Stegostoma tigrinum: one gene and its partner. The protein of the gene in region 1 purifies or fractionates together with the protein of each later gene. This does not show direct contact. Links are inferred from orthologs where the notes say so. Each region holds a gene or a part of one and is shown in the gene's direction. Other genes may lie near its edges.

What was found. The genes of interacting proteins can lie anywhere in the genome.
Region 2: the proteins of enhancer of polycomb homolog 1-like (region 1) and histone H2A.Z purify together in Homo sapiens (affinity purification with mass spectrometry; 4 studies listed by BioGRID and IntAct, with this or other methods). This does not show direct contact. The link is inferred for Stegostoma tigrinum from reciprocal best matches to the Homo sapiens genes EPC1 and H2AZ1.

What each region holds. Positions count from the first base shown.
Region 1 is NC_081355.1:128,371,944-128,379,873, reverse strand, and holds the start of enhancer of polycomb homolog 1-like, read left to right. Parts: upstream 1-4,875; 5' UTR 4,876-4,949; coding exon 4,950-5,102; intron 5,103-7,930. UniProt on the Homo sapiens protein: Component of the NuA4 histone acetyltransferase (HAT) complex, a multiprotein complex involved in transcriptional activation of select genes principally by acetylation of nucleosomal histones H4 and H2A.
Region 2 is NC_081354.1:4,080,767-4,087,705, forward strand, and holds histone H2A.Z, read left to right. Parts: upstream 1-3,906; 5' UTR 3,907-4,002; coding exon 4,003-4,005; intron 4,006-4,165; coding exon 4,166-4,243; intron 4,244-4,557; coding exon 4,558-4,671; intron 4,672-5,690; coding exon 5,691-5,820; intron 5,821-5,935; coding exon 5,936-5,997; 3' UTR 5,998-6,433; downstream 6,434-6,939. UniProt on the Homo sapiens protein: Variant histone H2A which replaces conventional H2A in a subset of nucleosomes. Nucleosomes wrap and compact DNA into chromatin, limiting DNA accessibility to the cellular machineries which require DNA as a template.

The sequences.
Region 1 (7,930 bases):
ATACAAATATTAATAGTGAAAGGGTGGTTGGTAGAACCAGGATGGGACCAATCAGAGCCCAAAAAGGGGATTTATGCCTGGAAATTTAATGTCAGTCTTTACCAAAAGAAGAAATACTGTCCAGGTCGTGGTGAAAGGAGATAATTCAAATACTTAGTTTGAAATCGATGAACAGGAGGCAGTGGAGTCAGTCTTTTTATTTACAGTTGGTTAGGCTTCAGGACTGAATAAGAGAGATCCAAGGACACCAGAGATGGTGAGAATAGAAATTGGAGGCATTGACTATAATTTTACGATCTTTCTTTGACTCAGGTGATTATCAGAGAACTGGAGAATTGCAACATTTCTTTTAAATGTAAAGATGAGTTTAGCAACGATATGCGAGTCCTATAACAACGCTGATGGCAAAGCTTCTGAAACAATAATTCAAGACAAAAGTCTCTTGGGAAATCTGGATTAATTAAAAAATTCCAGCATAGTTTGTTAAAGGATAGCTTTGCTTAACTAATACTTACGTTTGTCTTTTGAAGAGTTAATTGAGCTGGTCAATGAGGATAATGCTGTTGATGTGGCACAAGTGGGTGTGCAGTCATTTAACACAGTGCCACACAACAAATTTTTATGAACAAAGTTTCAGCACTTGGAATAAAAGGGACAAAAATACATGGTTCTGAAAATGGCTGAGTGATGGGAGATAGTGTTCAGTGGATGTTTTTCTGACTGCAGGAAGATTTATGGCAGAATTCTCAAGGTGTGTGTATCAGACCATAAAGATATAGGAGGACAATTCAGCCATATGGTCCATTTGGGTTGCCTTTGCCATTTTATCGTAGCTGATATGTTTCTCAATTCCATTCTCCTCCCTCTCCCCTCAATCTACTTACTAATCAAAAATCTCTCTATCTCTGTCTTAAATGCACACAGTGACTTGGCCCCTGCCACTGAAAGCTGTTATGAATTCCACAGATTTATCATCCTTTGGCTGAGAAACTCCTCCTCATTACATTCTAAAGGGTTGTCTTGTCTATGATGCTATGCCCTTGGGCCCTAGTAGAGGGGGATGGGTCTGGTTGGGATGCTGAACAGGGGATTGGTGTGTGGCGATTTTGTGATTCTAGAAACACCCTCTCTACGACCATTCTATCTAGGTCTCTTAATATTCTTTTCAGTTTCATTGACATCTCCTCTCCCCCCCCCCCACCTCCGCCACAGCCTACTAAACCCCCAGAGTACAGACCTAGAGTCCTCAACTGTTCCTCTTGAGATTAGCCCTCCATTCCCCAGGATCATGCTTGTGAACCTCCTTTGGACCCTCTCCAAGGCCAGCAAATCCTTCCTTAAGACACAGAGCCCATAACTGCCCTCAATATTCCAAATGTGGTTGAGCCTTAGCAGTTTATTCCTGTTTGCTTTGTTTTCAAGCCCTCTTGAAATAAATAAATGCTAACTTTGCATTTGGCTTCCTAACTGCCACCTGAACTTGCGTGTTAAAATTAAGAGAAATAGTTTATGCCTCTTCTTCTTACCAAAGTACAAGACCTCACACTTTCTCACATTATATTTCATCTACCACTTCTTTGTCCACTGCTAGCTTATCCAAGTCCTTCTGCAGCCTTCCTGCTTCCTCAATGTGGCCTAACCCTACACCTATCTTTATTGCTAAGCTTGCAGATGACATAATGCCCTCCATTCCTTCATTCTGATCATTAATGTTGTTTGGAAGTATTATGAACATTGAAGAGAATAAAATTGAACTTCAAAAGTACAAAAATAGGTTGTTGCAATGGCCAGAAAGTTGGCAGATGAAATTTAATGCAGTGAAGTCAAGTCTAATTCATTTTGGCAGGAAGAGCATAGAGACAGAACAAAATAAAGGATACAGTTCCAAATTACCTATAGGACCTAAGAGATATGCACAAGTCATTGAAGGTGGCACGACCGTTTTGAGAACTCTTAATAAACAACAGTATCCTAGGCTTTATTTACAGGACCATGGAGCACAAAAGTAAAACTATGTTAAACTTCTATAACACATTGGTTTGGCCTCAACTGGAGTATTGTGACCAATTCTTTAAGAATGATGTGAAGATGTTGGTATAGCTACAAAAAACATTTGCAAAATGGTTCCAAGCATGAGGAACTAAAGTTTATTGCAGACAGTTGTATGGCTTTTCTTGAATGTTAAGAGGTAGATGGATAGAGATTTTCAAATACGGAGACTGGACACAACTGATGAAGGGAACACTTGCCATTGTGTAACAAAAGAGAGGGCACAGCTTTCTGGTAACTAGAAATGTACATTGGTGATGAAAGGATTTTGTTTCTGTATTGAGTGATTTAATATCTGGAAAATGCTGACTGAGATTGTGGTGGAGACAGAGATTGAGACAAACTTCAATTAAGGCTTTAAAGAGTGATTTGGATTATATTCCAAAAAGAAAATGTGAGATTACAGGGAAATGGCTGAGTTTCTCATTAAGAAATCAGACACTGGCACAACAGGCTGAATGCTCTCTTTCTGCACAGTAACAGTTGTGATTCTGTAGTGATGTGCTGGGACTGAGATGGTTGATTTCCAGAACTACAATCATCTTCCTTTCTGCAAATGTAACTCCAATTATTGGATAGTTTTGTCCCTGATTCCTGTTGACTGACTGCAGTTTTTTGTTAAGGCCCTGGTGTCATGTTGGTCAAGTCCTGCCTGCATATAAAGGCCAGTCACACTCATCTCTCATCTGAAATTCAGCTCTTGTTCTGTGTTTGACAAAGACTAACTAAATCTGGAATTCAATTCCTGGCAGGGCCCAAATTCTTATTGGCGAGTAGATTATTGGAACATAAGTGCTGCTAGATAGTGCTATTGATGATCCCTTCCATCAATTTGTCGCTGACTGTAAACTGCTGGTGCATTAAACAATGTAATCCGTCAAGTGATTCAATCATTTGAATGTCAGTAAAACGCTGTTTTCTATATTTATATATAAAGCACATTGGCAGCATAAGCTCATTGCAAAAATAGTACAACCTATTGAGAGTTACTAGATAACAAACTGCAAAATAAGATTAGCTTGTAAATGAAAAATTGGAACAAATGGAAATTAAATATTCAGTATACTTGTGTATCAATTCAATCTGATAAAACTCTATTGACGTTCATTACTGATTTCCAGAACAGACGTGGGAAATTTCATTAGTTGTATGTAGGTTAAATTAAAACTGAAGATTCAGCTGTCTGCATGTCTGATGTACCACACTTTGAAGTTTATAATTTTTCACCAGCAAATCACAATTTATTGATGTCTTTTAATGACTTTAAATATAAAAGTTTGATTTGGTGTTGTAACAAAAATGTAGTTAAATTCTGTACTTCACAACATGAGTTAATGTTTGGTTTTTTTGTTTTGGAAACGTTGAATTGGTGTGGAATCATTACAACCAAACTAGGTGCAGGCCCTTCAGCCCCTTGAACCTGCTTTACCATTCAATCTACAATCTATCCACTAACCTTTCACCCCTTTTGCTTAACAAGAATCTACCTACCTCTGCCTTTAAATGTCATAAACAATAGTAAATCACCGAGTGGCATTTAGATTTTTGTTGAAACGTCAATTTGCCTAATTGTGCATGGTGACATACTGTTTCAGAATAATAATTAAGTTTAAAAATGGTCAAACTTCGTGCTCGGATGAATTCAAAAACCGAAATCCCGTTTTATGGGCATTGAATTGTTTGATTTGATTCACGGTGTCATATACATTGCCAGATTTGCCTTGAACATCTTTTTGATTCGACAAGTAGCCTTACTGTCTCTGTGCAGTACAAACAATCAAGACTAGCAGGAAGCTTTGCAATTGTTTACGCCGAATTGCGCAATACCCTGTGACAGATTACAACCTGCCCATTGAGTTTTGAACTGTAGTTATTATTATGAGACATGTGACATTCCCCTTTTCCCAGCAGACCATTTAAAAAAAACCAAACGCTGGCACTTCGTGTTGTAGAGGGCGCCGTTTCCAACAGCTTCTTGTAAAGTTGTTGTGACTGAGGGTATCCATGTTGTGGCGTAGTTGAATTAGGAAGCGAACAGAAACGATGGAAAAAAAACTTGGAAGGGAAACGAAAAGACAATAGTCAATCGTTGTGATAACGACTTGTGCATTTCTTTCAAAAAGAGGAGCCAAGAAACGCAGGCTCGGACTGAAAGCGAAGTTTTGTTTTCCGTGGAGCCGAAAACACAAATATTAACCGGGTGGGAGCGGGGGAGGAGAATTCGAAAACATTTTCAAAAGGGTGGGAGGAGAATGGGAGATGAGGTTTTATACAGCATATCCTGCAAAAGGGAGGGGGTGGGCTGCTTGACTCGCTGCTAGGCGGGGGGGGAGAAAAACAACCCGGTAGAAATCCAAGGCAGCCGTTAGTGCCGGGTGCCCAGCGGAGCAGCAACATTCTCCTCCCGCACTAACCGACCGCCGGCCGGTTGAAGTGGGGGGGGGGGGTTGTGGGCCGTTGCGCGCGCAGCTCGGCCGAGCCTCGTCCCTGTTGCTGTGCATTGTGGGATGGCTGGACTTTAATGACCGCCATGTTGGCCATGGCGTATTGAAGTCGACAAAAGGAACCTAAACGGACCGGGGGAAAAACCGCCTTTCTTCCGTTTCCAACCCCCGTTTTTTCTTCACGGAATGGAACTAGGATCTCCAATCTTTCATCCATGATAGGTTTCGGGAGGCTCCGTGTAGGTTTTACTGGGTGTAGGCGTCAACATTTCATCGGCGACTAAAAAAAACGCATTTTATATATATATATATTTATATTTTCCTTCCAACTACAACCTCCCTCCCTCCCTCTCTCCTTCCCCTCCCCTCTTTCTCTCTCTCTCTCTCCCGCGGTGGTGTTTGGGTTTCTAATCCGCCGCGAACACGCACATACAAACCGAGGGAGAGCCGAGAATAATGAGCAAACTGTCGTTTCGGGCAAGGGCGCTCGATGCATCGAAACCTCTGCCCGTGTATCGGTGCGAGGATTTGCCGGATCTGCACGAATATGCCTCCATCAACCGAGCGGTGCCCCAGATGCCCACGGGGATGGAGAAGGAGGAGGAATCGGTAGGTGCACACGGGGCGGGTTTGGTTGTTTTTTTAAAAAACATGCCCGTCTTTTTTTGACGAAAGGAGTTTTAAAAATCATTTTATTCGGACGTGTTTTGTGGCCTCGGGGGAGGGGGGGTGTTAGTGGTGGGCTGGTAGTTGGTGGCGGGAGGTGTTGCCTGTGTGCGCAGGTTGCGCGGCCGCCATTACACGGCTCTCGCTCGCTTCCTCCCAAACATGGGGCCGGGCCGCGGAAACGGAGAGACGGGCCCCGGAACCACCCACACTTTATTCCTCCGCTCGGGAGGGAGGCCGCCCTCCTTGTTTCTTTTTGTTATTTTGAAACAATCGAAGGTCCTATCCCGTTGATTTTTCACCCCGCTGAGCGGGTGGGCGAGAAGGATATTGTTCCTTGTCTACGAAAGATATTATTTTTACCCCCTCGGTGTACAAAAGATCACGTGACTGGCGAGGCAGCCATTTTGTTGTGTTTCTCTCTGGGTTGGGCACGATCTCGGCAACAACCAACTCCAGTAGGAGGGTGGCGCTAGAGAGCCTGAATTTTTTTTGCCTGGGGTGTTGGGAGTTGTGGATTATTGTATTGTAGACAAATTTGTATTTCACTCAGTTCTAGCTCCCGTATATATGGGCGTTGTTTTTATTTGCTCTCTTGTTTTATATGTTCCGTGTGTAAGTTGACTTGCAAAATGGTGCTTCACAACATCTCGCTGAACAGAGATCATTGTGAAAGTATCACTGTTTTTAATCTCAGCACGTGCGCCAGTTGTGACCTGTTGTGCAGTTCCCGAGTATGGACAGCGGGAAGACTCCTCCTTTATAATGCAGATTACTACTACAGCTAAGTTTGTGCAGAGACCGTGAGACTTATAGTTGTTTTTCCGACTGTTTTATTCCACATCCGTCGTATCCACAGTTAGTTTCATGGGTGACATGCAAAATTAGTTTATTGTGAAGCAATAATGTGAAGTGTAACTTATAAGAATTCTAGCGGTTGAATGTCATCGTGTTTTTGAGGCTTTTGGAAAATCTCCCACATCGTGATCTGTAAAGCAAGATGTTACACAGATAGTTGCAGTTGTGAGGCTGTCAAGGTGAAAAATAGTCATAGTTTCAGATTCAGTACCATAGTTATGGTTTGTATTATGAAGTATACTGAACTTGTCAGGCAAGGAGCTGGATTAAAGTCAGGATGGCTTATTATGTGAATAGGATTCTGTTAAAGTCAGAAATATGATATTGCTGGAACTTGGCATTAATCTAATCTAAATAGAGGAGCAGTGAATTCTTTAATTACTGTCACCTAACCTTGCTGATTTGATAGCAATGTACCATTAGCCAAATCTGTTATTACCAAATAAATGTTCTTGCATGAAATTCTGAAGTTGCTGTTAACATCAGTGCATAGTTAATTGGGGGCTCAAAATATTTTCAACACCTGGGAAATACAATATTGCACTTCCCACAGTTTGAATGAGCTTACTGACACAATTAAACAAAATGCATTCAAGCTATTACTTAAGATGACAGTCTACTGGATGTACATCAGTAACTAAAATATGGGGTTGCAGACAGAATACCTCAAAGGAATTCATTTCAACTCATTGGCAAACTACAGTACTGGTCTTCATTTGTGGATATCTGGTTCTACTTCCTTGTGTTTGTAGTCTGTAACAGAAAAAAAGGTTTTTTTTTCCCCTGATGAAGTGTCTAGGCCCGAAACGTCAGCTTTTGTGCTCCTGGGATACTGCTTGGCCTGCTGTGTTCATCCAGCTCCACACTTTGTTATCTCAGATTCTGCAGCGTCTGCAGTTCCTATTATCTATGTATCTTAAGGTTAGGATTTTAGTTTTCCAAAAAGATTCTTATGCCTATTTGTGCTTGGCTTTGTGAATCAGATGCTCAAAATAAGTAAACGGAATTAATTTACATTGCACTGGTGTTTTCTGTTCCAGCAGTTGAAAACCTTTGCTATGCACTACTTTTCAAATGTGGGGAAACTCGAGCAACAATGTCATACAAGGTGCAACAATAACACTGCTGTTCCAGTGATTTTTGATTTGGGCAATAAATATTTGTAAGCAAGGGCAAATGCTTCTTTTATTTTAGATCTTTTGATATGCACTTGTTGTACCACTCTTTGACGAAGTTGATACGCTTGAGTGAAATTCCACATGAGAATTTTTATTGTGATTTATTACCTGTCAGTGCGATATTAAACACCAACCCTGTTTTAGGTGGATGTGCCACATTTTTCACATGAAACCTAAAATCAGACTTCCACGTGAATTCTGGGCTGAATGTAAAGAATTCTTTGACGTAAGTGTTGCAGGATGGGGTGGGAAGATCTCTCTCCCTGCATTGTGGCAAATGTTTAACCCTCAACTAATATCCCCAAATAGCTTAATTGGCTTTCTGGAGTCCAGAATCCTTGAGGCACATGTAAGGTTATTATACTGAAGAGGGCAGATAGTTCTGCACCAGTGTCAGCAGAGCTTCTCCACTCTCATTTTTGCAGTGACAGTTTGTGGTACCAGTTATAGAGTCAGAGATGTGGGATGGGATGAATAGCCAAGGTTTTTTTTTGCCAGGGTAGAGAAACTCAAAACTAGAGGGCATAGTTATAAAGGTATAAAAGAGACCTAAGGCTCATCTTTTTCATCCAGAGGGTGCTCTGTGTGTGTGTGTGTCCATTGGAGCTGGGGCTATCACTTTGAAATATGGTTCTCATGTTTGTCTAATTAGGTATAAATAATGTGATCAGAGCTTTTGTGCTCCTGAGATGCTGCTTGGCCTGCTGTGTTCATCCAGCTTCACATGTCGTTATC
Region 2 (6,939 bases), on another chromosome or scaffold:
CAGATGTCATCTTTCACATTAAATGTTTAAACCAAGTCCTGATCTGCCAGAATAAAAACCGAAAGAACTGCAGATGCCACCCTCTCGGATTGATGTGCGACTTTAACAGAAATCCCACTGAAGAAAATATTACCCGGTTGCAGCCTCATTTATTGTGTCTGGGATCTGTCTGTGCACAAAACGGCTGCCATGTTTGCTGTGTTCCAAAGGTGAATACTGATGAAAACACTTGGAAAAGTATTTTGCAGCTGTAAGGTGTTCTGATATTCTGAATTTGTGAAAGGCACTCTGAAATTGCAAGTCTGTTTTTCCAGTAACTGAGACAGGTTTAAAAATGCAGAAATCTTTCAACGCGTAATTTTCACAATCAATTTAAATTCATTTAATCATTATTTTTATGTTCTAATGATTGATTTCTCAATTTCTGACACTGATCAGTCTGTCAATTGTTCTCTTAAGATCCTAATGAAATATTTTGTAAAAATTTAATACAGTTTTTAATGCATTTTTATTCCCAATGTTCATTTGTCACCACAATTCTAACCAGCTTGGCTTTTCCCATTCCTACAGCTATTTATGCTTACACTCAACAGAAATAGTTTTCCATCCCGTGTAATATTTAAATCATTCAAAGGTATTTTCCAGAAGATATCAAAACTTAACATATAAAAACTTATCACGGGGCAAACGCGATAGGCAAATAAAATGCAACCAAAACCCCTGCAAATGATAAAAATGTGTCAAAACACAGAAAACTCTGGATGAACAGGCTAGTAAGCCTCTGTGCAAAGAAAACAGGTAATGTATTAATAAGGGGACTGTCCGATAATAGTGACACATCAATTCTACCAGTAATTAAGTTAACCTGAATAAGTCAGTGAATTTTGTACGGTGTGCAGAATTCAGTACATACTGGAATTTGTTGGTCAATTTTACAGGGATTGGTACTGGGTCCACTTTTGTTTGTCATTTATGCAAATAATTTTAGATAAGGATTTGGAAGGCACGGTTAGTAAGTTCACAGATGACACCAAAATTAGTGATATGACGGACAGTGAAGGTGGTTATTTAAGATTACAAAGAGATCTTGATCAATTAGGTCAATGGGTTGAGGTGTGACAGATGGAGTTTAATTTGGATAAATGCAAGGTATTGCATCTCGGTAAAACAAACAAGGGCTGGGACTTATTCAGCTAATGGTGGGGCCCTGGGTAGTGTTGCAGAACAGAGAGGTCTAGAGGTTCAAATACAGAACTCTTTGAAGTTTGCGTCACATGTAGATTACAGCTAATACAGTGAAAAGTTTCAACAGTTGCTTCAATCTGGTGACATTTTCAATCGTTTAAAAATAAAAAGGATGAAAAATATAACTGGAAGACAGTCATGCGTCACCATCCCTCCTCTGCTGCCATGTGTGTCAGACCCATCGATGTGGGAGTTGCCACTCTAAGTGCCATCTCTTTGGTGCTAGAACAACCTTGCCAGGCCACGTGCTGAATCCATACACGCACCCAGAACCAGGCTGGCTCTGCTGCTGTCTCAATGATGCCAGGAGTCCCAGCCTGAGGCATACCACACTGCTGCCGCTGCAGCCACCATCTTGCAAATGCCAAGAGTCCCTGCTCTGGGTATACTGCAACACGGAGACCCTGGCTCCACTCCTAGGCCATGGCCACCGTCTCACAAAGGGTCTGGCTCTGGCTGTCCTCCTGCAAGATATCACCTCGCTGGCACCATCACCTTAAAATCTGCTGCCACTGCTGCTTCCATTTGCTGGAGGAGCTTTGCTGCCACCGCCAGCCCTAAATACGGGAGGACGTCCCTGTTGCCACTGCAGCCACGGCCTCCAGTTGCTGTGAAGAACTGTGCCCACTGGCAGGAGCCACCACCAAACCACTGTCAAAGCTGCCACACTGATCTCGCTGACTAATCTGCTGCAAAAGGGCTCCAAAGAAAAATGAAAGTAAAAGAGCAGCAGTAAAAAGAAATAAAAGATGGAAAGCAGGCTGGAGCGGATCAACCCCGGGCAAGATCCCGCACACTGCCCTGCCACTCTGCTGTTATCTTCAATCTGTTGGACGTCATGTTGAGGTTGTACAGGACATTTGTAAGGTCTCATCTGGAGTACATGTTCTGGTCCAGTCGTCCTTCTACAAGAAGAACATTATCAAGCTGGACAGGATTCAGGAAAGATTTACCAGGATGTTGCAGACACAATAAATGGAGAGTTTTAGTTATAAGGAGAGGCTGGATAGACTGGGACTATTTTCCTTGGAGCATAGAAGGTTGACAGGTGACCTTGTAGAGGTTTATAAAATCATGAGGGCTATAGATAAAGGCGAATGGTAGGTGTCTTTTCCCCAGGGTGGGGGATTTCAAGACTAAGGAGCATATTTTTAAGCTAAGAGGATAAAGATTTAAAGACATGAGGGGCAACTTGCTTACACAGAAGTGGTTTGTATGTGGAATGAACTGCCAGAGGAAGGGGTGCATGCGGGTAAAATTACAATGTTCAAAAAACATTTTGATAAGTACACGAATAAGAAATGTTTGGAGGGATATGGGCCAAGCGCAGGCAGATGCGACTATTTTAGTTTAGGGTTATGGTCAGCATAGACTGGTTGGACCAAAGGGTCTATTCATATGACTGTGTGACCCTATTACTGGATGTATGTATCACACGTCGATGAGCACTACCCTGAATGATGGAAAGAACATGAAGTTCAAGCTGGAGCAAGGCATCTGTCTTCTAGATGAAAGGGGATGTAAAAGGTCTCATGGCACTATTTTGAAGAACAGGGGAGCTCTTCTCAATGTCTTGGGTCCAACATTTATCCCTTAATCAATATCACGAAAAGCACTCTCTGCTCCATTTACTGTGCTGTGGGAGCTTTACACTGTGTGCAGATTGTTTACCTTTTGTACTCTGACTGCATCTGCATTTCCAAAGCACTTTCTTGGCTCTTGAAGAGCTCCAAAGCACCAACAGTTGTGAAAGTTGCTGTTAAGAGTGCAAGTTATTTCATATATACACAAAATCTATCTTTGTGCATGTTTTGAGTTCTAGCTATGCGTCGACATTGAAATCATAGGTTTTCCCCCAATTTTGACATGTCTTGAAGATAGAATTTTGTTGCAAGCAATTTTTCAGCAAACTGTCTGGTGGCATTGTATGGTAGAAATAGAAACACTGTTGAAGAAACTTGGTACTGAGTCAGTTATGATTCTTCTTCAAAGAGTCACATCATTGTGGAATCATAACAGACCCGAAACTGTTTCTTTTGTGATAAGGTGCAGAGCTGGATGAACACAGCAAGCCAAGCAGCATCAGAGGAGCTGGAAGGCTGACATTTCGGGCCCAGGCCCTTCTTCAAAAGGTTTCTGCTGTGTTCTCTGAGATTAGAATAGGGCTAACCTTTCAAATCCGATAGCTTCAAAGATGAGTCAATATCGGACGCTAACGGTTGACTCTGTGTTTCTTTCTCTCCGCACAAATGCTGCCAAACACACGTGAGTTACTCCAGCGCTTTGCTATTCATATTTTCCTTTTGGCAGTTTATCAGCGGCTAAAACTTTTTTAAAAAGGTGTATTTTCTTCTGGGGAAGGGTCTCCGGACTGGAAATGTTAACTTTGCACTCATGCTGAGTTGCTCCGGCACTTTGTATCTTTTGTTTCACATGTGCAACAGCCACAGTTCATTGAGAAGCGCAATGTCTAAAATGCAACTCGGACAAAGTGCCCCGCGGCACCACGTGCACCGGGAAGGCGAGCACGGCGCGCGCGCACACCAACCTCCTGGGCCCTCACTGGCGGCGCGTACGTACGCGGATGGGTGCGCGCGCACGTACGTACGTACCTCCCGCCCTCCAACCCTCCGATTGGCCGCCGCTCGGTAGCCCGGAGCCCGGATGTGGGCAGGGGCCCGGCTATAAATAGGAGCGGCGCCGGGGCGGGAGCGCAGAGCGGTTTGAAAATCCGGGGCCGGAGGATACGAGGCGGTGATGGTGAGGAGGCAAACAAAATGTTGTCTAATTTTAATTTGTGAAAATAAGCGACAGATCCGCGGTCGCAGACAGGGGTTTGGGGGGGGGGAAAAAAACATCTCGACCACAGGACGCAAACCGGTTTTATTTTTTTTTACCTCTTGTTGCTATTCTCTGATAGGCTGGCGGTAAAGCGGGTAAAGACTCCGGCAAGGCGAAGACCAAAGCGGTTTCCCGCTCACAACGAGCAGGCCTCCAGGTCAGTGCGGTTTCCCCGCGTCCATTACCGCCGCCTCCCTCCCACTGACTGACTGCAGTAGGGTCCAGCCTCGCACGGGCGGCGCGAGAGGAGGGAGTGCGGGCGGGCGCTTCTCTCAATGTTTTAGAACACGCCCCTCCCCCTTCTCCCTCCGGGAACCGGCTGCGGCCGGAAATGTCTTCCCTTCCCTCCCCTCCCCCCCCCCCCCCCCCCAACATATAAATATAGCGTTTCACGTCGCGGACGTTTGCTTTTTGTTTTCTGCCGGCCGTCTTTTCGTTTCCCCCCCCTTCTAAATCTATTTATTTTTACAGTTCCCAGTCGGTCGCATCCACCGACACCTGAAGTCCAGGACCACCAGCCACGGGCGGGTGGGCGCCACGGCAGCGGTTTATAGCGCGGCCATTCTGGAGTATCTGACGGCCGAGGTGAGTGTGTGGGGGGTGGGGAGCGCGTTACAGGCCGCGGCTCCATGACCAGCAGGTCCGTCACCGGATATGTTCCGTGTTGCCGGCTGGTAGGGTTCGAGGCGACTGTGTTCCGGCTTTATTTGGAGTCGGCCTTGCCGAATGGTCGGAGTGAAAGGTTCCGGTCTTATTACTTCCCTTATCGGGGGAAGGGTCATCGGACCTGAAACATTAACTCTGATTTCTCTTAAAGGTTGCTGCCAGACTTGCTGAGCTTTTCTCAGCAGTTTGTTTTTGTTTGATTTACAGCGTCCGCAATTTTTGGTCATGATTTCCTTCACTGTTCAGGTTTAATAATTAAATCTTCAGTCGTGTCTACTTGGGATCCTTCTGCAATCTCCTGTTCAGTCGAGCTGCATGTGGTTGCTTTGATTTTTGGAAATGGTTTCCCTACCCCTGACAAGTGATATTTGATATTGTATTTGATAATAGTTGAACTGCATTTCAAACCTTGGATTGTTACTCCCTTTTTAAAATTCATGATTCTTGTGTTGAAGTTCCCCCCCACCCTTGGTCTCTAATGCCTAACAACAACTAGTCTGTTTTAAGTTTTCAAGATAAAATGTGGGGCTGGATGAACACAGCAGGCCAAGCAGCATCTCAGGAGCACAAAAGCTCCTGAGATGCTGCTTGGTCTGCTGTGTTCATCCAGCCCCACATTTTATTATCTTGGATTCTCCAGCATCTGCAGTTCCTATTATCTGTTTTAAGTTTTCACTTGACTTTCCCTCAGAGGGGGGAACATTGAGGACTCCAAAGCATTAACTGATTTCTTTCTTTCCTGATGTTGCCATGCAGGCAAGTTTCTCCACAATTTTATTATTTTTATCTCCCTACACTTACAATACAAAGCATAACATTCACAATATCCTTCACTTGATTGCAGTAAATTTATATTAATACTTGATCTCTGGACTCAATTTTTAAAATTTGTTTGTTAAACAGCAGTGCTGTTTTTAATACCTTACCTGTTTTGTCAGGTACTAGAGCTTGCAGGAAATGCATCCAAAGACTTGAAGGTAAAACGCATTACCCCTCGCCACTTGCAACTTGCCATTCGTGGGGATGAAGAGTTGGATTCCTTAATCAAGGCTACCATTGCTGGTGGTGGTGAGTTAACATTTTAATTCAATAAACACTCAACTGTTAGAATTTTCTCTTCCCACAAAATATTGTTCTTCTGTGCTGTGGTGTCTTCCCTGCTGATTTATCTTTTTGTTTTCAGGAGTCATTCCTCACATTCACAAATCCCTGATTGGCAAAAAAGGACAACAGAAGACTGTTTGATGGTGGAAACTTCCTTTTTGGTTCACTAGTCTCAGGACTCCATCTCCAAATAATCAGCTGTAGAATGTTGGAGGATCTGACTGGAAAGACACTGGACTTCTGAAATGTGATTACATAGACATTTTTATCTCAATAGTATTCAGGGGAGGGGTCTTTTAAAAAGTAAAGCTCAATAATCAAACTTCCATGTGCACTAGTCTGGGAAAGCCAAATCTGGGACCATATCCTCCAAGGTGGGACTGTACCTGGGTGACCTGGAGTTGTTTCCTGGTTACTGCCTTTTCATAGCATCTCTGTTGCAGTATTTTAAATGCAGGAAGAGCTCACTGCTTGTATGACTTTTATTTTTGAAGTGGATTTAAATCCAGATGGTTTGTTCTGACTGTTTGTTCTGTCTATTGGTGTATGAAGTTTTCAATAAAATGTATTAAATGGCTGTGTGACTTGTCTTTTTAATTTGGGAATGCAAAGATCCCTAGCTAACCATTGAAGATAGTTTGTCCAGCATTAAAAAGCTCTGTCTAATGGCATTGATCACGTAACAGCTGCCAAGTGTTTCTTAATATACCACTGCATTTTGCAATTTCCTTGGTGTGAAACTTTTTGAAAGGTTTAATTCTGATGCTTTGACCTGTTTCTTTGCCTTTTTTCCAATAAACTGCAACAATATATGGTCCCCATCAAACAGCTTGTGCTATTTTGCTGCAAACAAATCCTGGCCAAAGATCTCATCCTGTTATACTTATTAGCAAGGCTATAACAGGATAATTTGCTTTGTACAGTGAGGTCAGTATTTAACTCGGTCACTGAACTGTAGAAATTCAAGTGTGGGTGCATTTATTCATGGGAATAACTTTAATAAGCTGAAATGTGGCTGGATTAAGATGTAAACAAAGTTTGTCATCAAGCTTTTACCAGATGGTGAACAGTTGAAGTTGGTCT